Linked DNA regions of Mus musculus: regions 2 and 3 are each reported to be linked to region 1. Evidence: microRNA targets listed by miRTarBase, many of them from high-throughput screens and not tested one by one. Region 1 holds a microRNA gene; each other region holds the end of a gene's coding sequence.
The links. Region 1 holds the annotated microRNA mmu-miR-665-3p (ACCAGGAGGCUGAGGUCCCU, at 3,883-3,902, opposite strand). A microRNA usually pairs through its seed, bases 2 to 8, with sites in the 3' UTR of a target mRNA and lowers its output. Matches are read on the target gene's strand: a 7mer-m8 pairs with bases 2 to 8, a 7mer-A1 pairs with bases 2 to 7 and ends in A, and an 8mer does both.

Region 2: the mRNA of Plaat3 is a reported target of mmu-miR-665-3p. Seed matches in the 3' UTR shown: 7mer-A1 at 5,898-5,904 and 7mer-A1 at 3,859-3,865.
Region 3: the mRNA of Bpnt1 is a reported target of mmu-miR-665-3p. Seed matches in the 3' UTR shown: 7mer-A1 at 5,878-5,884 and 7mer-A1 at 5,726-5,732.

What each region holds. Positions count from the first base shown.
Region 1 is chr12:109,582,400-109,590,269 of GRCm38, reverse strand. It overlaps Mir665 (microRNA 665), which reads right to left and starts at 3,956; the gene lies at 3,863-3,956. Rtl1 (retrotransposon Gaglike 1) reads left to right here. Exons shown (of 2, transcript NM_184109.2): 2 at 1-1,077. The coding sequence ends at 101. Mir337 (microRNA 337) reads right to left here and starts at 4,481; the gene lies at 4,385-4,481. Mir3544 (microRNA 3544) reads left to right here and starts at 4,397; the gene lies at 4,397-4,457. It also overlaps Mir540, Mir3070a and Mir3070b.
Region 2 is chr19:7,584,707-7,592,021 of GRCm38, reverse strand. Plaat3 (phospholipase A and acyltransferase 3) reads right to left here. Exons shown (of 5, transcript NM_139269.2): 5 at 3,477-6,457. The coding sequence ends at 6,356. Among named protein-coding and RNA genes, the nearest start is that of Lgals12, 19 kb to the left of the region's middle.
Region 3 is chr1:185,355,729-185,363,043 of GRCm38, reverse strand. It overlaps Bpnt1 (3'(2'), 5'-bisphosphate nucleotidase 1), which reads right to left. Exons shown (of 9, transcript NM_011794.3): 9 at 5,275-6,566. The coding sequence ends at 6,418. It also overlaps a transcript of Eprs not described here. Among named protein-coding and RNA genes, the nearest start is that of Eprs, 3.7 kb to the left of the region's middle.

The sequences.
Region 1 (7,870 bases):
CACGATTCCTGGCCATGGCCTCCAGAATGGCGCTGCCTTCCCCAGCCAGGGAACAGGCAAGGCTAGAAGAGCTATCAGACTCAGATGATGAACTTGACTGAAAACACACCAAGTCACTGTCATTTTCCCTTGTGCCTCGGCCAGCTTCGCTCAGATCCAGCACACCCTCTTGCTACTCCTAACCCAAGGGGAACCCACTTGTGAAGGGCCACAACTTCATCAACCAGCAACATCATCTGTGCTAAAGAACTAGCCAACTATCAGCGTCCCAGAACCAGCCAAGACTGTGTAACCCTAACTGTCCTAACTGTCCGGGCCCCAGGCCCACAAAAGGGAGTGAGACCAATGAGGAGAGAGCAGTGATGAGCAACAGTGACCCCGTCACCCCAGGCCAGATGCAGAGCAGATACAGCAGGTGCAGCCAAGCAAGCAGATGCCAGTGACCCCACCACCACCCCCTGAGTGGCAGGCGGCCACCTGTGCATCCTGGGACACTGACCTTGGGTGCTCCACGGACTTCTACCTCTACACCGGTGCTCCGACTCCCCTGGACACGCCCCTACTCCCTCCCAGTCTCCCAAGGTGCTGTGGTTCCATGCTTTCCACAACCCCAGCCCACCCTGCAAGCAAGTCCACCCCCCCCCCCACAACCCACCCACCCACTACCGGTCTGGTCCGGCTCCATTGACACCTCATCTGACCCTGAACTCTGATCTTACCTGGGCAGAACTGCTCCAAGGAGCATTCGACGTACCAGTGTGACTTACCAGATGGACTGATCCACCCTGAAGGTCCCTGAGACTCAGAGGACCCAAGAAAGGGTGGTAGCAACCAAGTGGGGCTCCCTTTTCCCTCCCCAAATGGACATATGGACAGTGCAGGGGACAGAGACCTTCCATAAAGGAGGGAGCCCCCAAGAGACACTGGTGAAGCCCCAGATACCCAGAGTACTGTGCCAAGGAGCCAAGAGTGCTCTGACCAGACCCACTGCTCACTGCCACAGGAAGGAGAGGTCCTTCCATTGCTTTCCCAACTCATACCTGCTTTTGCCCCATGAATAAAGAGAAGAAAAGATTATCTGACTTTGTGGTTTGTTCTAAAAGGGAGAGGGTGGATAGTAGGAGGCAGGACTGGAGAACATGGAGCATGGGGTCAGAAAGGATGGAGTGTGAAGAGAGGGTTGGGATGGGCAAGGGCAAGGGTGGGAGGGGCAGGGATAGGAGGGCTTGACTCTCCAGAAACAGCTCATGAAGACATGGAGCAACAGGCCTCCTGTCTTCTCCTAAAGGGAGGGAAGTCAATTCACTCTCAAAACTTTGGGCTCCTCTGGGAAATGGACCAAGGGTTTCATGGGGCAGAAGGAGGGTACCCAGAATTCCCAGCCCTCATCTGGTCCCAGCCCTCTAGTCACATGAGAAATGAGGAATGGCCAGACTGTGCTCAATGCCCACAGCTGAGGAGGGTCAACAGGCAGGATGTTTGAGCTTGGATCCCAGAAAAACAGTTCTTAGAACCCAAGACTGCATCCCTCCACGCCCCCTCCAGCCTGCACTGGGGTCACTGTGCCCTTATGGGTCCTAAGGGGCCTCATGACAAGGAATCTACCCCTGACCATAGCACCAGAAGATCATGGGGAGGATCCCAGGTTCAAGGTCAGGGGCTCAGCCTCACTCAGCACTTCCTCCTGTTGCTAAGGAGGCTCCAGTGGCCCCCCACTGGAACCATTCCCACAGTTGGCCCCTGAGATCCTTGCCTTAAAAAAAGCTATCTTGAGGGATACTCTGGGATGGGGAAGGAGCTCCTAGGGGTAGAGGGAAATTGAGCAAATAGTCCCTTACTCACAAACTCTATACTTCCTACCCAGAAAATCTGCACACAAGCTAGGAGTATAAAAACAAGGGCCCCCTCCCACTGTGACCTCAAAGATAGTGGGCAGGTGCAATGAGCAGGGCCCTCACGCCCAAGGGCCCTTTCTTAACTCTGCCCTTTATATCTTGCCTGGAAATGTACCCCTGAGTTAACCTCAAGGGGCCCTCTTTGGCCTGAGAATGTGTCAGACCCCTGGATACCCAGCATGACACCTCCCCCTACCTGCTTTCAGCTCTTTGATCCCATCTATACAGGATCTATAAGCTTGGGTCCCAGAAAAACCCTACTTAGAACGCAAGATTGCATCCCTCCACGCCCCCTCCAGCCTGCACTGGGGTCACTGTGTCCTTATGGGTCCTAAGGGGCCTCATGACAAGGAATCTACCCCTGACGGTAGCACCAGGAGATCATGGATAGGATCCCAGGTTCAAGGTCAGGGGCTCAGCCTCACTCAGCACTTCCTCCTGTTCCTAAGGAGCGTCCATAACCTTAAGGTGGGACTGGGGTCCTATTGGAGGAGAACAAACGTACCAGTCCTGTACCCTCACTTAGTTTACCTGGGCACCTCCAACAAAACTGGGCCTCAAAACAAAACAAAACAATCCTGTCCCTGCTTGGTGAGGACTTCTCTGGCCCAGTGAATGCAGAGATGACTTAGGTCAGGACTACTGCCAGGGGCCCCAAGGCCCTGAGGGCCCCAAGCAAGTGAGAGTGAAGGAGAACTCAGTGAGCCAGCAGCCCGCCAAGAGGCTGCCAGTGATGTTGACTGCAGAGGTGCGTTTACCCACAGCCCGCACGAACACAGACCATAAAGGACAATAAAGGCCCGCAGGCCTACCAATCTACCCAGCAGGGATTTGTCCCCATTAACAGCAAAAGGAGGTGGTCCGGACTGTGAAGAGAGCTGGTGACGTGCTAAAACGTGCTAAAACGGTAGGTTATCAGGTTATCGGCGGAGCCACTTATAGAGATTGAAAAACACAACACAAACCTTTTTTTTTCTCCTGGGGAAGAGAAAAGAAAAGAAAGAAATTGGTGTGAAAGTTCCTGCTAGGGGATGATAACATCACTTCCAACCCTGTCAAGGTGAAAACCAGAGGCCAGGCCCTGGCTGCAGACTCCACCCACCAAGGAGCTGCCCCCACTTCCCAGCTTCAGTCCCCAACCAGAGAGCTCTGACAGCATCCAGGAACAAAGAGGAGCAGGGGCCCTCCCTTGCCCACCTTCCCTGTCCTCTCCATTGCTTCCCCTTATAAGATGTCCCTGCAGGTACCAGAGCCAGTGACAGCACACACACAGGACCCTGAGTCCAGAGTTTTACCAGCTCCTCACCAGGCTGGAGCAGAGATCTCCACATGCCTGGGTAACCTGGGCTAACTTGGGCTACCCCCATAGTAAGAAAAGGAAAAGAAAATATTACCCACCCCTCAACTGTCCCATACACCTTAAGCCCTGGTGCTGGGCCCAGGGGACCACATCGTTAGACACGATCTGAGACCTGAGCAGCAAACCTCATCTGGACTTTGATCCACCTGTGTGAGCTGAGAGACACGCATGACCATCTTGCCACCAAGACCGTGCAGGAGCACAAGTAGGAAGAAGGAGATTGGGGGCAGAGGGGGGGACAGGGAAGGGAGAGACAGTGGTGAAGGGGAGGGGGACTGGGTGTGGCCTGGGTCCTCCCTGTCCTGCCCTCAAATCCTTTCACAGCTTCCAGGCTATTCACTCAGGGTGCTCCTGTGTGCCGGGGCTGGCTGCCATAGCTGGTAAATGCAGTTAATAATGGTGGTGTTGTGGGGATGGAGATGGGCCCTGTATGCATGCAATGACCTAGGTATTGGGGTTCAGACTCTACGCCAGCTGCTCATTGTGCTACTGAAGTGTCTGTGGGCACCCGGCCTGGGAGGAGGATGAACAGGGATCTTCTGCACTCCTTAGGGGATCCAGAGTTTGAACTGAATGAGGTGAGACGTCTCCAGAAGGGCTCAAGGAGAGAGTAAGAGGCCGCCTGTAAGGGACCTCAGCCTCCTGGTCATAAAAACATAATCCTGGATAGAGGCAGAGGCCCCTCAAGGAGACCCTGTTCTGGGAGCACTGGTAATGCTCAGCCCTGCCCTGTCTCAGCCCTGTGCCCTGCTCTAGTAACAAAGACCCCATCTCTCAAGGATCCACCCTTTCTGCTAGGAGCTGGGTCCCCTCAGAGGACCTCCAGGAGAGAACGGCTCCTGGAATCCCAGTGGGAGGAGCCCCAGAGTAGGCCCAGGATCGACCTCTGACCTGTCTACCCTTGGCCACAGAGTCAGAGGGTGACCCTTGGCCCAGCCCCAGGGAATGTCCCACCAGGGGTATAGCTCCCCCGCCAAGGAATGATCTCAGGTATGGCCCAGCCCCGGGTATTCCCCTCCAGGAACTGTGGAGAATGGCGAGAAAGCATGCCAGGGGAAAAGAGCGAGCTGAAGACGCGTCCCTAAGCGGCCCAAGGTGCGCGGAGGAGGGTCCGGAGGCCTCACGCGGTTGAAGGGGGTGAAGAAAGGCATCATATAGGAGCTGAATGGCTGTGCAATCAACTCCTGCATGACGCCGTTCCCACCCCCCAACTTCTCACTACACTGGGACCCTCCTCTCCTGAAAAAGCAAGGCAAGAAGCACAGACAACAGGTAGGACAGACTCCCAGGGCTTAGTGTTAGAGGAAGGAAACCAAAGGCCAGCCAGCCCTAGGGCACCTGCAGCACAGTGGAAGCATCTACCCTCCTTGCCCAACCTCACTTCTTATAAACTCTCATGGAGTGACTGGAGCCAATCCAGGGGATGAGGAGGGGGGAGAGGGAGCAGAGGGATGGGAGGGAGAGAGGAGGGGCAAGGGAGCACTGAAGGAGGGGTGGGGAAGCGGAGAGGGAAGGAAGGGTGACTGTGGTCACAGGAGTGTCCTGCTAAGGTCCATCCCGAGTATCCAGTGGGTTCCTCTGCAGACCTAGAAGGGACTCATGGGAACCAGCAGGAGCTTAGACGCCCCAGATGGATCCCCCAAAAAGATGCATGGGTTAAAAGCTACTCAGTGTGGTGAGGGGACAAACTGCAGGTACAGCTAACAACCGCTCCCCAGGTTCTTTGAGTGTCAACTTGAGTTACACTCCTCCATGAATAACTAAAAACCACAAACTGCTTTTGCTTGCCTGTTAGTTTTTTTGTTTGTTTGTTTGTTTTTGAAACAGGATCTGTGTAATCCAGAGTGGATCCCGACTTCTCCATCTTCCTGCCTCAGGCTTCCAAGTGTGGCTATGATTGACAGGCCTCTGTCACCATGGCCAGCTTGAATGGCACATGTGTATCACCTTACATATGAATAAAGTAAAAAAAAAAAATCTTTCCTGACTTGTGCTCTTCTCTTCCTTGTCTGGCACACCCACCAACTGCCAACAAACACTTGTCCCAGCATAGTCTCAGAGAGCAGGGTATAAAGAGGTAGTATGGGGGTGGGAGGGAGTAGTAAGGATGGGAGGCCAGAAGACAGGTGAACACAGGTGGGGAAGGGAGGACTCGGTGTTAAGCCAGGGAGGAAGGGAGCTGCACACGACATGTGAATGACAAAGGGTTAAGGCAGCTCAATGCTGTGGTAAGATGCTGCAGATGTCAGTGGGGCAGGGGAGAGAGAGAAGGGGGGCTCAGGGCAGCATGTGGAACACAGCTGCACATCATCCAGGGCAGAAGAGGGTTGCAAAGGGACATGTATGTGTATGGGAGCATAGGGACATGGCTCACGGGAAGCAGGAGGGTCTCAGGGTGACGTATGTCACAAGGGAGAGATGAAGGATATGATATCCCACGCAAAGAGGGGGTCTTCATGTCATAAAGAAAAGAACAGGGACATCCCATGATGCCTACCTACACAGGGGGGTGTCAGTAACATATGGAGAGATTAAGGGATTAAATCTAGCGGATGGGGAGTGGTCCAAGGCTATACATGGGGGAGAGAATCCATGGTACAGGGGAGAAAAAATGTAAATGTGATGTGCAGAGGAGGGGTAACATGACACATAAAAAGAGGAGGGGCTCAGTATGACTCTTGTACAGGAGAGCCTATGACTCCTGAGAAAGAGACTGGGCTGCATGTGGGACATAAGGAGGAGGGGCTCTGATAGAGGAAATAGGGGCTCGGTGTGACATCTGTCAAGGAAAGTGTTCATCACAAGTGGGGAGAAGGACTAGATGTGACACCTATGAGTTGCTTTGTGACCTGGAGGACATGCACGTCACAGTGTGGTATGTGTAGAGGCAGAGCGCTCCATGTCACAAGGCAAGGGGTGGATGTCTCAACGTGCTGCGTGCAGAGGTGGGGCTTCCCAACATGAAGAGAGAGCGAGAGGAGAAGAGTTCCGTGTACCGCATCTGGAGCACCAGCAGGGTTTGTGGTGACTAAAAGGAACGAGGGCTATGGGACACATGATTTAGGGGCCCTCTCACGATGGAGGAGCTCAGAGTCAGGGAGGGGCCTAAGGTGAATGGGGAGTAAGTGGGATGAAGCTCGGGTGCACAGGGCACACGGGTGGGGCTAGGCTAAGCATGACACACGTGGGGAGAGGTGTTCTCTCTCTAGGACACATGGGTAGAACTCAGGTGACCACGACAGGTGTGAGAGGGGGCATACAGAACGTAGGAAGGGTTAGGCTAAGCATGACACATGTAGAGGAATGGTGCTCTTCAGGACATATGGGTGGAGCTAGGCAAAGCGTGCCCCATTATGGAATTTTCTCTTTAAGACACATGGCTGACAATAGCCTAACCCTAACACAGGATGACAAGAGGAGAGGACTCAGTGTGAGGCCAGCAATAAGACATAAGAAATGTTAACACATGAACACAGAGGGTCTTGGAAGTGCAGCCTGATGGGAGGGGTCTGTCCAAGACAAAGCAGGTGTAGTGGGAAACCATGTAAAGATAGGGAAGAGAAACTTACTCTGACCCAGGTAGGGGAGTGGAGCTGAATGTGATACCCGTGGAGAGATGAGACGCAGTGTGACTCAGGACCCTTGTTGTGATTCATGGGTGGTGGGAGGGGCTCTGTGTGTGACATAGGTGTAGAAAGTTTTGACATGTAATGGGGTCTAGATGAGAAACACTTGGAAAAGAGACACAAATGTCTTGTGCGAGGGTAGAGAGCTCATAACTCTGAGTGCCACTGTTGAAAAGGGACTTAGCCTAACACAAAGGAGAATTGAGGAACTGTGGGACACACGGCCAAGGAAAGACTTAGGATAGCACAGTGAGGACCAGTTTGATACCTAGGTGGCATGACCCCATGTGATGAACAGAAGGAGAACGGTTCTGTGAGAAAGGTGTGACAGGTGACCGAGGGGAGTCTGTGTGAGAGGAAAGGGGTTCAGTGTGTCACAGGAAAAGAGCATGTGAGGCAGGAGTAGAGAGACACAAGGAGGCAAGACTCCAGGTGTCAGGAGAGGTGGATTGTGCTCATGGTAAGAAGCATGGAGAATCTTTTCTGTTTGAGGCACATAGGCTGGAGCATGGTATGACAAATGGGGATGAGAGGTTCAAAGTGACACAGGGGAGGACACACAGGAAGGTAGTGCTTCATGTGGCACATGGGTACAAAAGGGGCTCGGCATGACACACGCATGGGTGTGACACCTGGTGGCAGAGGGGGAATTGGTGTGAAACACAAAAGGGGAGGGGACTATGCAATTCACAAGCATGAGGTCAACATGACCCATGAAGAGGAGAGGACCTCAAGAGAGCAAGAGGGCTGTGCTTTAGGTAAAACCAGAGGGGCAGGCGGGGTTCTACATGCCTGAAGAGCAAGGGTGAACACTGAGGGGAGGGGGGAGGGGGACTCAGTGTCACAGGGGAGGGTAACAGACTTGGTCTAGCACACAAATTGAGAAGTCCATGACTCAGTGGCTGTGTAAGTGAGGAGAGAGACTCCAGGTGACAGGGGTGGAGGCAGGATTCAATGTCACTTAGGTGTGGGGGCTATGGATGATACAT
Region 2 (7,315 bases), not on the chromosome of region 1:
AATGTACTTACCCTGGGTTTGTTCCTGCAACCACAAAAACAAATAAATAAAAATAACTTGGATTGAAACATTTTATTTTATAAATAGCGGTGTTATGGTTGATATGGTGGTTAGTCTTGTTTGGGGGATTTGATGGATGGAATATAGCATCACCATGGAAACAAGTCTCTGGGCTTGTGTGTGAGGGATTATCGAGATTAGATTAATTGAAGTGAAAAAAAAAAAAAAACCTAAATGTAGCAGACACCATTCCATGGACAAGGTCCCAGACTGAATTAGAATAAGAAAATGAGCTAAAGCAGGGAGATCTCTCACTCTGGTTTCTCACTGTGGACAGAATAGGACCAGTCTCCTCCTGCTCCTGCTGCCAAACCGTCAGCGACCGTATACTGTATTCCCGGTTGCTTTTGTCAAGTATTTTGTCCCAGCATCAAGACAAATAACTAACAAAGTCAGAAAACCAACTCTCAAAAATTGTCCTCTGACCTTCACAGGAACCCCAAGATGTTACACACACACACACACACACACACACAGACATACACACACAAACACACACATAAATAGATGTAAAAATAAATAATTAAGTGGATATAGAAAGTAGCCTTGTGCATCTGATTGAAAACAAGCTTAATTGGGTCAGGGATGTCGCACAGTAGGTAGAGTGATCTATAGCATGCTTGAAGCCCTGGGGCCATCCCTTAGTCCCCCAAACAAAGCATAATAGCACCTATAATCCCAGTGTTTGAGAGGTAGATGTAGGAGGCTCAGAAAGGGTTAAGGACATCCTCAGCTACATAATGAGTTGGATGCCCACTGGGACTACATAAAAGTCTACCCAAAACAAAAACAAAAAAACCTTTGGCCCACATAGGAGCTATCCCCAAAAGAAATTCAAATTCAACCCCCTTTAAAATGCTGTATACAGGGAATAGAGAGATGGCTCAGGGGGTGGGGGGGTCAGGAGCACTTACTGCTCTTGCAGTTTTGTTCCCCAGAACCCATGTGTGTTGGGGGAGGTGTCACTACCATCTGTGACTACAACTCTAGAGCTTCTGACAATCTGTGGGTCTGTTGCCCTGACACACAAGTGCAAGTCAGTGGGCAACTTTTGGGAGTCAGTTTTCTCCTCTCATTGCATAGGTTCCTGCTGTGCATCAAAAATTTTCCTGGGGAGATGCACATGTCTACTCATCCCAGATAGGGAGACCACAGCAGACCAAAGTACAGATACCACTGAAGTCCAACTTAGTGAACCAATTATAGGAATATGGGTGAAAGGTTACTTAGAGGAGCAGAAATGACCCAGTGACAGCTGCATCACCAAGGCCCACCTCAGCATAGGTGATAGCTCACAAAAGCTGGGAACCTGGAGCTCACTCCACAGCCTGAAAGCAGTTCACCAGGTTGAAAAATATCCTTTCCAAGTGATTCGGTTTGTCTAAACCCCTTCCGGGCAGCTCAGCTGGTTTCTGCTTCTTCCAGGCAGCTGGTCTGATCTCAGTCTCTCTAGCTTTGCTTGTCAGAACCCTCTTTGCACCTTGGCTTGTTTGAGAGTGACTCTCAGCAGTTTTATTGCCTACTCTGGGGGAGAGGGACCTAGTGAGCCTGATCAGTTTCAGGAACTTCCTGAAGCTATTTTAAATAGTTGACCTCCCTGCTTAAAATGCTTCCCTGCGGGAAGGAGTGTTCCAGTTTCGAAGGAGACTGTTATGCAACAGTCCCAGGGACTGAATTCAAGTCCACAGGCTTGGGAGCAGGGGCCTTTACCTTCTAAACCATGTTACCAATCCAAGACACAGCATAACCTAACATTCTATAAAGTATTGAGCTATGATCTGAGACACTGTCAAATACTGCTAGGAATGTTGTTAGTTATAAGCTGCTATTGTAAGCACCATTCATGTGTACTTTTCTTTCAGATAAGCTAGACTGTTGGCAGCCTGGCATATTTTACCCTTTAATTGGCAAATGCCAGATACTTCCCTGTACCAGCTACTCTGGATGGTATGTGGTCAACCAAGCAACACCTCTCTGGGTGACTAGTCACCACACTATGGCAGCCAGGCATACGGTGACTTGAAGTAACTGCACTCCAGTTATGAGAGGTACAGCTGCCACTGCAGGAGGCCTTGTTCCAGAGAACTCCCAGAAATCTTGTGATTGGTCCTTATACAGGGCCAGTGATTGGAACTAGGTACCATTAAGTGATGGATGGGAATTTTGAAGCATCCACAAATGTGCCTTGCCCCTTTTCTGTCTACAAAAATAGCTTGTTTTCCTGTTTTTTTTCAGGATAGTTAGGAGGCCTTTCTTTCTTCCATAAGTCTCCAGGATAGGCTTTTTGTCTATTTGTGGTCTTTAACACGGAATGAAAGCTGGACTGGCTACAAAAACAAGCAGAACGCTGGGGCTTCCAGTGACATCAACAGCCACCACTGTATGAAGGCAGCTGAAGAACCCTGTGGAGTCACAGGAATAGAGAGAGGTCTCTCATACCTGTGGCTAGAGAAATACACCAGGCAGCTGACCTTAGGGCTCTGACACCTAAAGTTCTGAGATCTGATGCCAGGGCGCAGAAGGGTTTGGAGAGTCCCAGTGAAAACAGAAACTTCAAAATGCCAGAGACAGGGCTGGCGAGATGGCTCAGCGGGTAAGAGTACTGACTGCTCTTCTGAAGGTCCTGAGTTCAAATCCCAGCAACCACATGGTGGCTCACAACCATCCGTAACGAGATCTGGCGCCCTCTTCTGGAGTGTCTGAAGACAGCTACAGTGTACTTACATATAATAAATAAATAAATCTTTAAAAAAAAAAAAAAATGCCAGAGACAGCTGGTCAGGGTGGTGCACACCTTTAATCCCAGCATTTGGGGGGCAGAGGAGAGCAGATCTCTGTAAGTTCAAAGCCAGCCAGGATTATATAGTGAGACTCTGTCTTAAAAAAAAAAAAAAAAAAAAAAAAGGCAGATCCAGATGGTAGAAGTGTTGAAAGGGCAAGGGACATCAAAGAAGCTGAAGCTATTGTGAAAGATGAGTGATTTTGATTTGTGGAAGCTGAGCCTATGAGATCTTTCCTAACTGCTACAAAGTTTGGTGGAACCAACAGAGACAAACAAGCCATAAGTCCTGACACTCAGAAGCTGTACCACAGCTGGCTGTGGCCCACTGAGCCCACAGCAGTGACTCTCTAGCAGTGACCCTCTACTGAGAACAGCAAGTCTCTGGCTCTGAAAGCTTGCAATCCTAAGCTTCTGCTTCTCAGAGATTAGAACTATCTGCCTCTGGGCTTGGAAATTCACCCTCTGAATCTAAGGATCCCCAACATTAAGAGTTGGATCTTGCCTCTCTGTGATTTCTATCATGAAAGAACAAAAGAGGCACCCCCACCCCAGCTCACCCCTGCCAGCCATTTGTAACACCAAGACACCGGGTGTTCTATTCCTGTGAAGAGACACCATGACTACAGCAACTCTTATACAGGAAAACATTTAATTGGGGCTGGCTTACAGTTTGAAGGTCTAGTCCATTGTTATCATGCCCAAAGCATGGCAGCATACAGGCAGACATGGTGCTGAAGAGATAGCTGAGAGCTCTACATCTTGATCCATAGGCAGCAGGAAGAGAGCAACACTGGGCTTGGTTGAGCTTTTGAACCTTTAAAGCCCACTCCCAGTGACACGCTTCCTCCAACGAGGCCACACCTCCAAATCCCTCTAAAGTAGTGCTACTCTTTGATAACCAAGCATTAAAATGTAAGAGCCAGGTAGAAGTAGCGCAGGCCTTAATCCTAGCACTCAGGAGGCAGAAACAGGCAGATCTCTGTGAGCTCAGAGCCAGCCTGGCCTACAGAGCAAGTTCCAGGACAGCCAACGGTACACAGAGAAATCCTGTCTGAGCCTATGGAGGCCGTTCTTGTTCAAACCACTGTACTAGTATATCATCAATTTTTTATAAATGTGTTATGTATGTCGTTAGACTTTGTGTCTCACACTTATACTGCATGTCTATTGAAACTGTTTCTTGACAACTTTTTAAACTTTTCTACATCTTTATGTTGCTTTACCAGGTCCTAGAAGTTATACTTTTTTTTAGTTTTTATATGTGTGTGGGTGCTTTGCCTGCACGTATGTCTGTGTGTGCAGTGCTGGTGGAGGGTAGAAAAAGTTGCTGGATCCTCTGGAGCTGAAGTTACAGATGGTTGTGAAGAACCACGTGTGTTGGGAAACAAAACTCAGGCTCCCTGGAAAAGCAGCCAGTGCTCATAACCACTAAGCCATCTTTCCAGCCTCAAAAAATATTTATTTTTCTAAGAAGGAACCAAAATGAAGCCATTTTAAGTAAAACTTTCATTTTAAATAGGAGTCAAATAAAATTTAAGTTCCCAAGACCTCCCTGGGTACTGGGTACTGGGTGCCTGTCATCCTGTTTGGCAGAGAGAGATACACATAGGTAACTGACATCCTGGTTGACAAGTTCAGACATGAATGTTAGGTTAGTGGTCCTGCCATAGTTGAATAGCCCAACCAATGGGAACAGGATAAGTGTAGCACAAAGACAAGTTCCTAAGGAAATCCACTGTCCCTAAATCCTGATTGGTGGAAAATGTAACTGTAACTTGGCCCAGATGTTGGTGATTTTCAAGCTTTAAAGCTCTGTAGCACTCTGGCTCCAGGTCACAGTTCAGCTCCCAAGTCTGTCCTGCAGCCCTGGTCAATCAGTAGCAGCTTGGTCACGACACAGTTTTGTCCTTTGCATTGATCTGGTGTTTGAGTCGAGTTGGATTTAAGCAGACCCCATAACATTTTGATCTCCGACTACAATGGTAAATTGTCAATTTACTGGCCAAGAATTCACGATCTACTTTGAGACTATTAAATGCAAATGAATTTAGAATTAGTATATACTTTAATTGAGTTGAAACTTTAATCAAGATTGTTTTATTATCTCTGTGTAGTAATCATTTTGTTCAATTATATACTACACACAATCTCTGTGTAGTAAATTATTTTTGCCTTAAAGTCTGTATTTTCTTCCAGTTTTTAAAAACTTTTTATAGTGCTTACTTATGTATTGCATGCAGATATATGTGCACCAATATTATGGTACATAAGTGGAGGTCAGGAGACAACTTTTGGGAGTTGGCTTGTTCCTTCCACTGTGTGCATCCCATGGACTAAACTCGGGTCCACAGAATTGGCAGCAAACAGCTCCACTTTCTGAGCCCTCTCCACGGCCCCAGATTGCTTTTCCTCATTTGACAGTTAAGTTTCATTTAGTTCTCTTGTATTTGTTTTTTCTCCTTCTTTCTCTTGCCCCACTCACTATTAGTTTAGGTATAAATTAATATTATCTAAATATTATGAATATTGTGTGGGAGGGTGAGCATCGGGACACCTGCCCTTTGAACTTAGGTCTAGGTCCTTTGGGTTTGGGGACCTTGAGCACTGACGTGAAGCCCTAAGGAACCTGAGCCAAAGAAAACTATTCTCTCAGTGCTGGAACTCAGCGAGCACATGTGTATTCTGTGCAAGATGCGCATAAGTCGGGAGAAAGCTTTTACAGAGCAACGTTTCAATCCTGACCAGGGCTCCAACAGACAAGATGTATGTCACGGCGAGCAAGCCAATAAGCAGCACCCATCATGGTTTCTGCTTCGGTTCCTGCCTTGAGTTCCTTTGAGCGTCTCTCAATGGACTGTGGCCAGGGATATGTAAGCCAATAAACCATTTCCTCCCCCAAGGGGTTTCAAGTCTTTATCTTAGCAATAGAAACCTGACTAGAACAGAGCTGTACTGCAGAAGGAAATCGGAAGGTTTTAGGATGACACGAGGGATTGAACCTAAAACTGCATGCTCGCCAGGAAAGCACTCTATCACTGAGCTAAAGCCCCAACACTCCAGGATTTGTCCTTCTCACACCACTGAATATCCATAAACTCCAGCGCCTGAGTCTCAAAGCGCCACGTTGAAACAAGTTCTAGGCCAAGATCCCTGGCTATCTGATGTTTCCATTTCTGTGTACCCAGGCTGTCTCCTTTGGCATACCATAGTATCTGGCACGCAGTAATGCGCTTCACTTGAGATAACAGTGTTGGACTCTGTTTTCTGCAATACAAAGGGTACCACAGCAAACAGAAAGGCCAGCCAGGAAAGACTGTTATCCAGAACAGAGCCCCGAGCTTCCCTCCAGAGACTTCACACCAGGTAGCTACTGCAGTATCCTCACAAAAATTCCTTTCTTGTGGTTTATTGTATGTTGTGAAAATAAACCTAATTATAAAGCAATAGAATCTATAAATCAAACTCCAAACCCTCTAGCAAAAGAAGAGCCCAAAAACTGGGCAGTCATTCAGCTCATTGCTTCTGTTTCTTGTTTCTGGAGAGCATGACTCCAACGAGGCCCAAGGCCGCCAAGCCCACTCCAGCGATGCCTACCGCCTTGACCGCATCTCTGACCTGCAACAGAGAGGAGGGTGAGTCAAGCTCTGTGTAACGAGTGTGGGAACAGGCTTTTCATTGACCAGGGTCACTCTGCTCATGTCACTTCGCATGCCCCCTTCGCTTCCAGTGGCCAAACTGAAGAGCCAACAAATACTGGCAGGGGCAGTGGGAAGGAGAGGGCTGGGCAAGGAAATGAATGGACAGAACCAGCTGGCCTGGAATTGACACAGACTCAAAATAGTAACCTGAATGAGGCTCTGGACTATTTAAAGCATACAAACCTTTGTAAGGCATCTATGGAAAGAAGAGAGGGATGACAGCAGAATGGGAAGATGGACAGCCAGTGGGCAAGTGTAAGGTCAGGAAGGGATTGCAATTGAGAACTCAAAAAAAAAAAAAAAATCTGACCTCCATGAGAGCAAGGACCTCACCTCATGCCATGTGTCCAGTGTCCGGCCTGCCAGGCTTGGAGGTGCTCAGCCCTTTAAAGGGCTGGGGTTTCTTGTGTTTGTTTGTTTGTTTGTTTGTTTGTTTGTTTGTTTGTTTTGCTGAATGCTTGTTTTTCTCTTATGGAGTCAGGATCTTGCTCTGTAGCACCCTGAACTCAAGACCCCCTGCCTTGGCCTCCTGAGTGCCAGGCATGACACTACACCCAGCTCTCTCTTTGTATGGACTCCAGTGTTCACCAAGAGACCAGAGTCAAGACATAGTTGCCTCTATTCCACAGGTCTCTTTTTATTTATTTTTATTTTTATTTTTATTTTTTTAAGAAAAGGTTGCATGTAGTCCAGACTGGTCTCAAACTTGGTCTTAGTTACAGTTTCTATTGCTGTGATAAAACACCGTGACCAAAAGCAACTTGTAGAAGAAAGG
Region 3 (7,315 bases), not on the chromosome of region 1:
GACACGTCATAAATATGCGCCCGCCAAGGCAGCCTTCGCTCCGCCCCACTCCACGCGCCACGACTGCAGAGAGGTCAAGGCAGGCTACTCTGTGCGTCATCGCTGCGCGCCCACGACATTTCAGCCTCTCTCCCGTCCCCGGCCCGCGGATACTGACGTCTGGCGAACGCTATTGAACGTAATCGCCGTGCGTCGCCTCCACCTTAACCGCACGCTCCAGTTGCCTCTTGGCAGCAGGACTGGGCACCCGTGAGGTGCCACTCCGTTGTGGAAAAGGAACAGCCGTTAAGACCCATCGGAAAGTGAGGGAAGCAGGCGGACGATAGACTAGTCCATTCTGGGGCAGTGGCACATCCATGCACAAAGTCGACGAGCTACACTGGGTATAAGGGAGCTTCCCTTCAGTCTTCTCTAAAAGGAAATATTTTCAGGATTGTTTGGTGTGGTGCACGTCCCAGCATCTAGGAGGCAAGCTAGAAATACAGAAAACTATGGGGACAAAGAGAAAAAGGACCTGCTTGCTGGGCCTCCTGGCCCTGAGAATCAAGATTTCCAGATGTTACTATCTGTAGTGAAGCCTGCCAATATTGACAATGTTTGGGGGTTTTGTTTGTCTGTTTTAGAGAGAAGCATCTTCAAATGAGAGGGTTAATAATAATTCAGGCTATACAGAGAAACCCTGTCTCAAAAAACCAATAATAATAATTCAGGCTGGAGGCCTACGCGTATGTGAGCTTAAGGATGGTCTGCGAACCTCACAACAGTTAACTTGTGTTCACAGTGGAAACAAAAGAACAATTCAGGAACAGCCCATGACCAAATTCCTTAATAACCTTTAAAAATAATAACTTCAGTGTTCTTGCTAAGACCATGAAGTGTGACTGTGGTATGCGTCCTCTTTGGAGCACCTGTCAACTCCCATGCTTTAAAAAAAAAAAAAATCACATAGTAAACTCCAACTTTGAATCATAGTGGCTGCCTCTGAGGAGGTCTTCATGATAGACTTGTCTTGTCATTTCTGGAATCCAAGGTAATTAGAGAAGAGTATGACTGGGGGTAGGGGATTGAGTCAGAGAAGAAACAAAATGGCATTAAGTGCACTGGCTGGTGCCTTCTTTCATTCCTTTGTAATAGAAGTACCTTGCCGGCTGCAAAATGGCTGTGTATAAATGCTGGTTCAGAGGCAGGGACCCAAAGAAATAGCTACCCTATAGTTACATGAAAACATTGGCACATTCCTGAGGCTATTGGAAGGTAAGGGTAAATATGTACTGCTTCTGAAATCTCGCCTGCACCTTGAACTTGAACTTTTGGAAAATGCCCTGGGCAAACACATGCATCACAGAGAATTTGGATTAGAAACCCCCCTGAAAGATGCCTACTTATACACCCGGAAACAGGACAAATATTAGGGCAGCAGTGTGCTTTTGGTTTTGCATCTGAGCAATCTAGCCAAGGCTCTGCAAGTGTTCTACTCTTAAGATACTAAACACTGAGTCCTGAAGTCTTTCTTGAAGTTCTTGTCTTTTAACCATTACTATACTTATTTGTTGGTTTGATCGTCTGAGGCAGAATCTCTATATCTACCTATCTATCACAAGGATTGACCTGAAATAACTAAAGAACTCTATTTACAAAAAAAAAAAAAAAAAAAAAAAAAAAAAAAAAAAAAAAAAAAACCCAACCAACCAAAAAAACCAAACAAACAAACTGCAGAAAATGGGTTATGTCACAAAAATGAGGCGTTTCCCCAATCCTGTATCCGAAGCCCTGATGCATGCTGGGGAAATCACCACTGAGCTACTTTAAAATGTTTACTTAGGGGGTGGGGATAAGGAGTGTCTCAGCAGTTAAGAACAGTGGCTGCTCTCACAGAGGATTCTGGTTTAATTCCTGGAACCTACATGGTGGCTCACAAACATATATAACTCAGATTGCAGGGTGTCTTAGTTAGAAATTCTGTTGCTCTCATAAAACACTATGGCCAAAAGCAACTTGGGATGGGGGCAGGCTTATTTTATCTCACACTTCCAGATAACAGTCCATCACTGCAGCTGAGTAGGAGCAGGGATTCAAGCAGGAACCTGGAGGCAGGAACCTGATATAGAAGCCATGGAGGGGCGCTATTTACTGGGTTGCTCTTCAGGGCTGGCTCAGCCTGTTTTCTTATAGTACCCAGGACCACCATCTCAGGAATGTCACTGAATACAGAGCTGGGCCCTCCCACGTCAATCATCAGTCAAGAAAATGCACCACAGGCCAATCTGGTGGAAACATTCCTTTTCCAAAATGATTCTAGCTTCTGTTAAGTTGACATAAAACTAGGAAAGAATCCCATACCTTCTCTGGCCCCTGCAGGCATTAGATGCACATACATGTGCACAGATATACATGCACATACATGTGCACAGATATACATGCTGGCAAAATACCAACAAACATAAATAAAAAGAGCACTTGCTGTTACCAGGGTTACCACAGGCAGCTCACCACCATCTCTAACTCCAGCACCCTCTTCAGGCCTCCAGGGCATTGGCCTCACACATACAAACCACACATACATAATTTAAAATAAAAAAACAACTTTTAAATTTGTTTATTTTTCTGTGTGTAACCCTGGAGGTATATGAGGGCATCCAACCTCCTGGAGCTGGAGTTATAGGTGGATGTGAATCACCTGGTGTGTGCTGGGAAGTGAACTCGAGATCTCAGCAAACCAGGAAGTCTTCTTTATCACTGAGCCATCCCCACAGTGCCCCCCCCCCATTTCTAAAAACTCAGTTTATCTCACTGTTCATAGAACTGTATGCCAGCAAGAAAGAAAATAAATGAAAACAAAATAGAATGAAGCAGTGATGATCAGATGTGGTGGAGTTACAAAACATGTGGTTTTGTCAAATTAGAGTGGGAGCAAGACAGAAGGACTGTTTAGAAACAACGTGGGGGAGGGGAGACTATAAGACATCAAAGTAGGCCTTAAGAGTGGAGGTCTAGCTTGTCAGTTTTGTTGTATGTTTGAGGCAGGTTCTTACAACATAGCAAAAGTGGGCCTCAGTCTTAGAATCCTCCTGCTTCAGCCTCTGGTGTACCAAGATGGCAAATGTGTACCACCATACTAGGCTTAGAGTTTGAGCATTTTAATCCAAATACATATTGTGTGTTTATTGTTGTTAGTTTCAGGCAGGATGATATTGTTGCCAGAGTTGGTCTCACAGAATCTTCAGCACTCTAAGTCGAGCATAAGCTACTGAGAATTCGTTGAGCTCTACATTTGTACGTCTGGGCAAAGACCTTATGTGAAGTCGTTTATTTGGAGGTATCAGATAATCTACTGAGAAAGTGGAAAGCCAGGAGTACAACCTCAGCCAACAGTGACATCTGAGGGAAGGAAGACAAGGAGAGAGCAAAATGACTGAGGGCAAGCAGCTAGAAGGGAGAGAACGAAAATCAGGAGTTACGAGAGGGAGTGATCAAATCCTTCGAAGCCACAGATATGCCTTCCTGTTACTAGATCCTGACAGTCCTATAAAAAAGCCATGGATGTAATCCCAGTGAGCAATACAGTAATTATCCCAAGATCAGCATAAAATGTAATTACTTTTAATTTTTGTGTATGTATGCATGCCTGCATAAGTTATGTGTGACATGTGTGCAGGTGCCTTAAAGGGAGGGAGGGTGTCAAACCCTCTGGAACTGGAGTTGCAGGAGATAGTGAGCTGCCTCTTAATGTGTGCTGGGAACCAAATCCAGATCCTCTCTAGAGCAACAAGGACTCTTAACCCCTAACCTATCTGTCCAGCCCCACCCCCTTTTTTTAAAGAACAGTGTCTCCCTGTATTACTTAGACTTGAACTCTTCATCCTCCTGTATCCTTCCTAAGTTATTGCAATCACAGGCAAAGCCACATGCCCAATGTAGCCTTTTTTTTTGGTTTAAAGATTTATTTATTTTATGTATGTGAGTACAGTGTCATTTTCTTCAGACACAACAGAAGAGGGTACCAGATCTTGTTACAGATGGTTGTGAGCCACCATGTGGTTGTTGGGAATTGAACTCAGGACCTATGGAAGAGCAGTCAGTGCTCTTAAACCTCTGAACTATCTCTCCAGCCCCAAAAGCAGCTTTCTGAAAGCAAAATCAACCAATCAACCAATCAATCAATCAATCAATCAATCAGAATTAGTGCATTGAAAAAAATTTTTCAGGTGAATCTGTCATGCAGTTGTTTTGGAGACTGCTGCTCTAGTAATTAAACCCAGGGCCTTAAACATTCTGAGTGTGCATTCTACTTGCTTCATCCAAAAGAACAGACAGAGACCAAAACAGTAAAAAAAAAAAAAAAAGCCATGGGGGGAGGATATAGTTTAGTTGGTAGAACATTGGACTGGTATGTACAAAGCCCTGGATTCAATATCCACAACTGGAAAAAAAAAGTGAAAAAAAAAAAACATTAAAGTAGGAGAGTGTATTAGGGCTTCTGTTAAGGATTGGAACAGTCAGAGGTCAGGGAGAATCAGGGTCAAACATGACCGCTACACTCATGAGCTCACAGCAGCTGAGGTTGCCTAAGACCCCACCAAAACCAAGATCAAGCCTGTTAACATTCCAGCTTGGCAGGGGAGGGGCATCTACCACCATCTCACGGCATGCTGACATTGATAGCTTCTGTAGGAGTAAAAGCTAGCTTTCTTTAAGGGTGCAGCTTCTGGTAGGCCGACTACACTCAGTGGATGACCACTTACCAGAGAACATGGACAGCAGAAACTAGACTTGGTCGTTACTGTAAGAAAAGGAAAAGAGGCTGGGAAGTGGTAAGAGGTGGAGTGGGTCTGGGAGAGGTTACAGGCGTGTGAACGTGGTTGTGGGAAGGAATGGCAATTATGATCGGCACAGACCTTTGCCTGAATGAAATACCCAAAGATTTGTGAACATCACATTTAAAGAAGACTCTTGTGTTGCTGTGACAAGTGCCAGAGGGAAAGATTTCAAGAAGGTTAGGGGTGGGGCTGCCAGGAGGGATGGTGGACAAAGCAGCTCACCTTACGGCAACCAGACAGCAGAAACAGAACCCGTGGCACTTGGCTTTCTCTGTCCCCTTTCATTCCATCCAGGCTCCAGCATAGGCGATAGTGCCGCCTACATTTCCAGCTCAGCTCATCCTTCCTGGGAGCCCTGTTTCCTGATGTAGGTAGGGCTTCTCAGTCTACTGAAGGTGACAATCAAACTGATTGTACATTCTCTCAGGGGAAGGAATAAAGGCAATTACCCAGCTTTCCAATTATAGATTTTAATAACAAGAGAATAAATTAATCCTCACATTATTTATAATTTTCAAATACTTTTGAAAAAAATCTGATATATAATATGAAAAGATAGGACTATGTATTTTAGAGAAACTTTCCCCCATAAATCAACATAAATAATATCATTATATGCATTCTTATTTGGAATCAGAAATTTTAAAAATTACTGTGAAAAAACAAAACAACTGAAATTCTGGAGTAACTTAAGACTCTGTGCCCTGAAGAAATCTGGTTTATCAGCAGGAATGTTGACTGCACAAATGACTTGGACAGTCATTTGAAACTAACCCTTTTTCATTTCTTCACTTAGAAATAGTAACATTTGAGCCAGGTGTGGTGGGGCAAGCCCTTAATCCCTGCACTAAGGAGGCAGAGGCAGGGGAATCTCTGAGTGCAAGGCCAACTTTGTCTACAGAGTGAGTTCCAGGACAGCTGGGGCTGCACAGAGAAACCCTGTCTCAAAAAAACAAAAACAATGCCGGCCGGTGGTGGCACACGCCTTTAATCCCAGCACTCGGGAGGCAGAGGCAGGCGGATTTCTGAGTTCAAGGCCAGCCTGGTCTACAAAGTGAGTTCCAGGACAGCCAGGGCTACACAGAGAAACCCTGTCTTGAAAACAAAAACAAAAAACAAAAAAATAAACAAACAAAACAAAACCCACAAACAAGCAAACAAACAAAAAGCCCAAACAACAAGAGAAAGGAAAAAAAAAAAAACAAAAAAACAAAAAAAAACAACTGGTCCTGTTAGCTAATTAGTAAAATTAAATTCCTTTTTTGTTTTCCTTCTCTGTGTTTAGGCATATCTTGCTATGTAATGGAGGCTAGGCTCAAGCAATCCTCTGATTCAACCACTGGAGTAGCTATGACTATTGTAAGTGCCACCACACCTGGCTAATTTGTTTTTAGGCAGGAGAAATGACAATCGTATCATATACTTAAGTCTTAAGCGTATTAGATGATGTGAAGAAAATTCTTTAATTCCATCTTCTATCCCTAACTACTAATAAATCGCTGATCAATGATAAATGCAGGCAGAGCTCCAATTGTTCAATTAGTAATCAGTATTAAGATGTGTTCCTTTGAACCAAGGCCTCTGGGTAAGTGAGACCCCTTCATGGAATGAGCGCATTTTTGACCGACTCTGGAACATGGCTTGCATAGTACTCGTAGTTCCTCAGTGCAGCCAGGACACCGGCAGAGTTCATATGTTTCACCTCCTTGTTGTACTGCAGGGCATTCCCATGGATGTCTGTCAACTTCCCTGCAGAAGAACATCACAGTCAGTGGACAGCTGGATCAGGATGTTTCGAGGGTCATTCTTTGGGGGACAGGATGGAGAGAACTAAACCCCAGGGCTCACACTAAGCACAGGTTTTACTACTGAACTATGTCAGCCTTCTTCTTTTGTTTTTATTTCTGAGAAAAAGTCTAAGTTGTGCAGGCTTGACGTAAGATCTCACTGTACGCTCATTCTAACGCCCTGGCTGACTTGGAACTTACTAGGGAGGTTACTCCTGAACTTGCAGTGATCTTGCTTGTACCTCAGGAATTCTAGATCACAGGCCTATTCCACCTCAATATCCTCGTGATTTCCCCGGTCTCTGGAACTAGAGATTGAAGCCAGTGCCTGTGGTACACCAAATGTGAGCCCTACCACTGAGCCTGGTGCTCTCAAGTCTGTATGTCTTTCTTATTTTATTTTAAATTAATTTATTACTAGTGATGGTGGTACAGGCTTTTAACCCCAGCACATGGAAGGCAGAGGCAGGAGGAACTCTGAGTTTGAGGCCTGGCTGGTCTACAGAGTGAGTTCCAGGACAGCCAGGGCTACACAGAGAAATCCTGTCTTAAAAAAACAAAATAAGCCAACCAACCAACAAAACCCCCAAAACAAACAAACAAACAAAACAGATTTCTTTCTTAGAGTTAGAGTTAGGAAAAATTGAAGATTTATCTTATGTATTTAGGGTTTTCCCTGCACGTGTGTATTGTGGAACACATGAGTGCCGA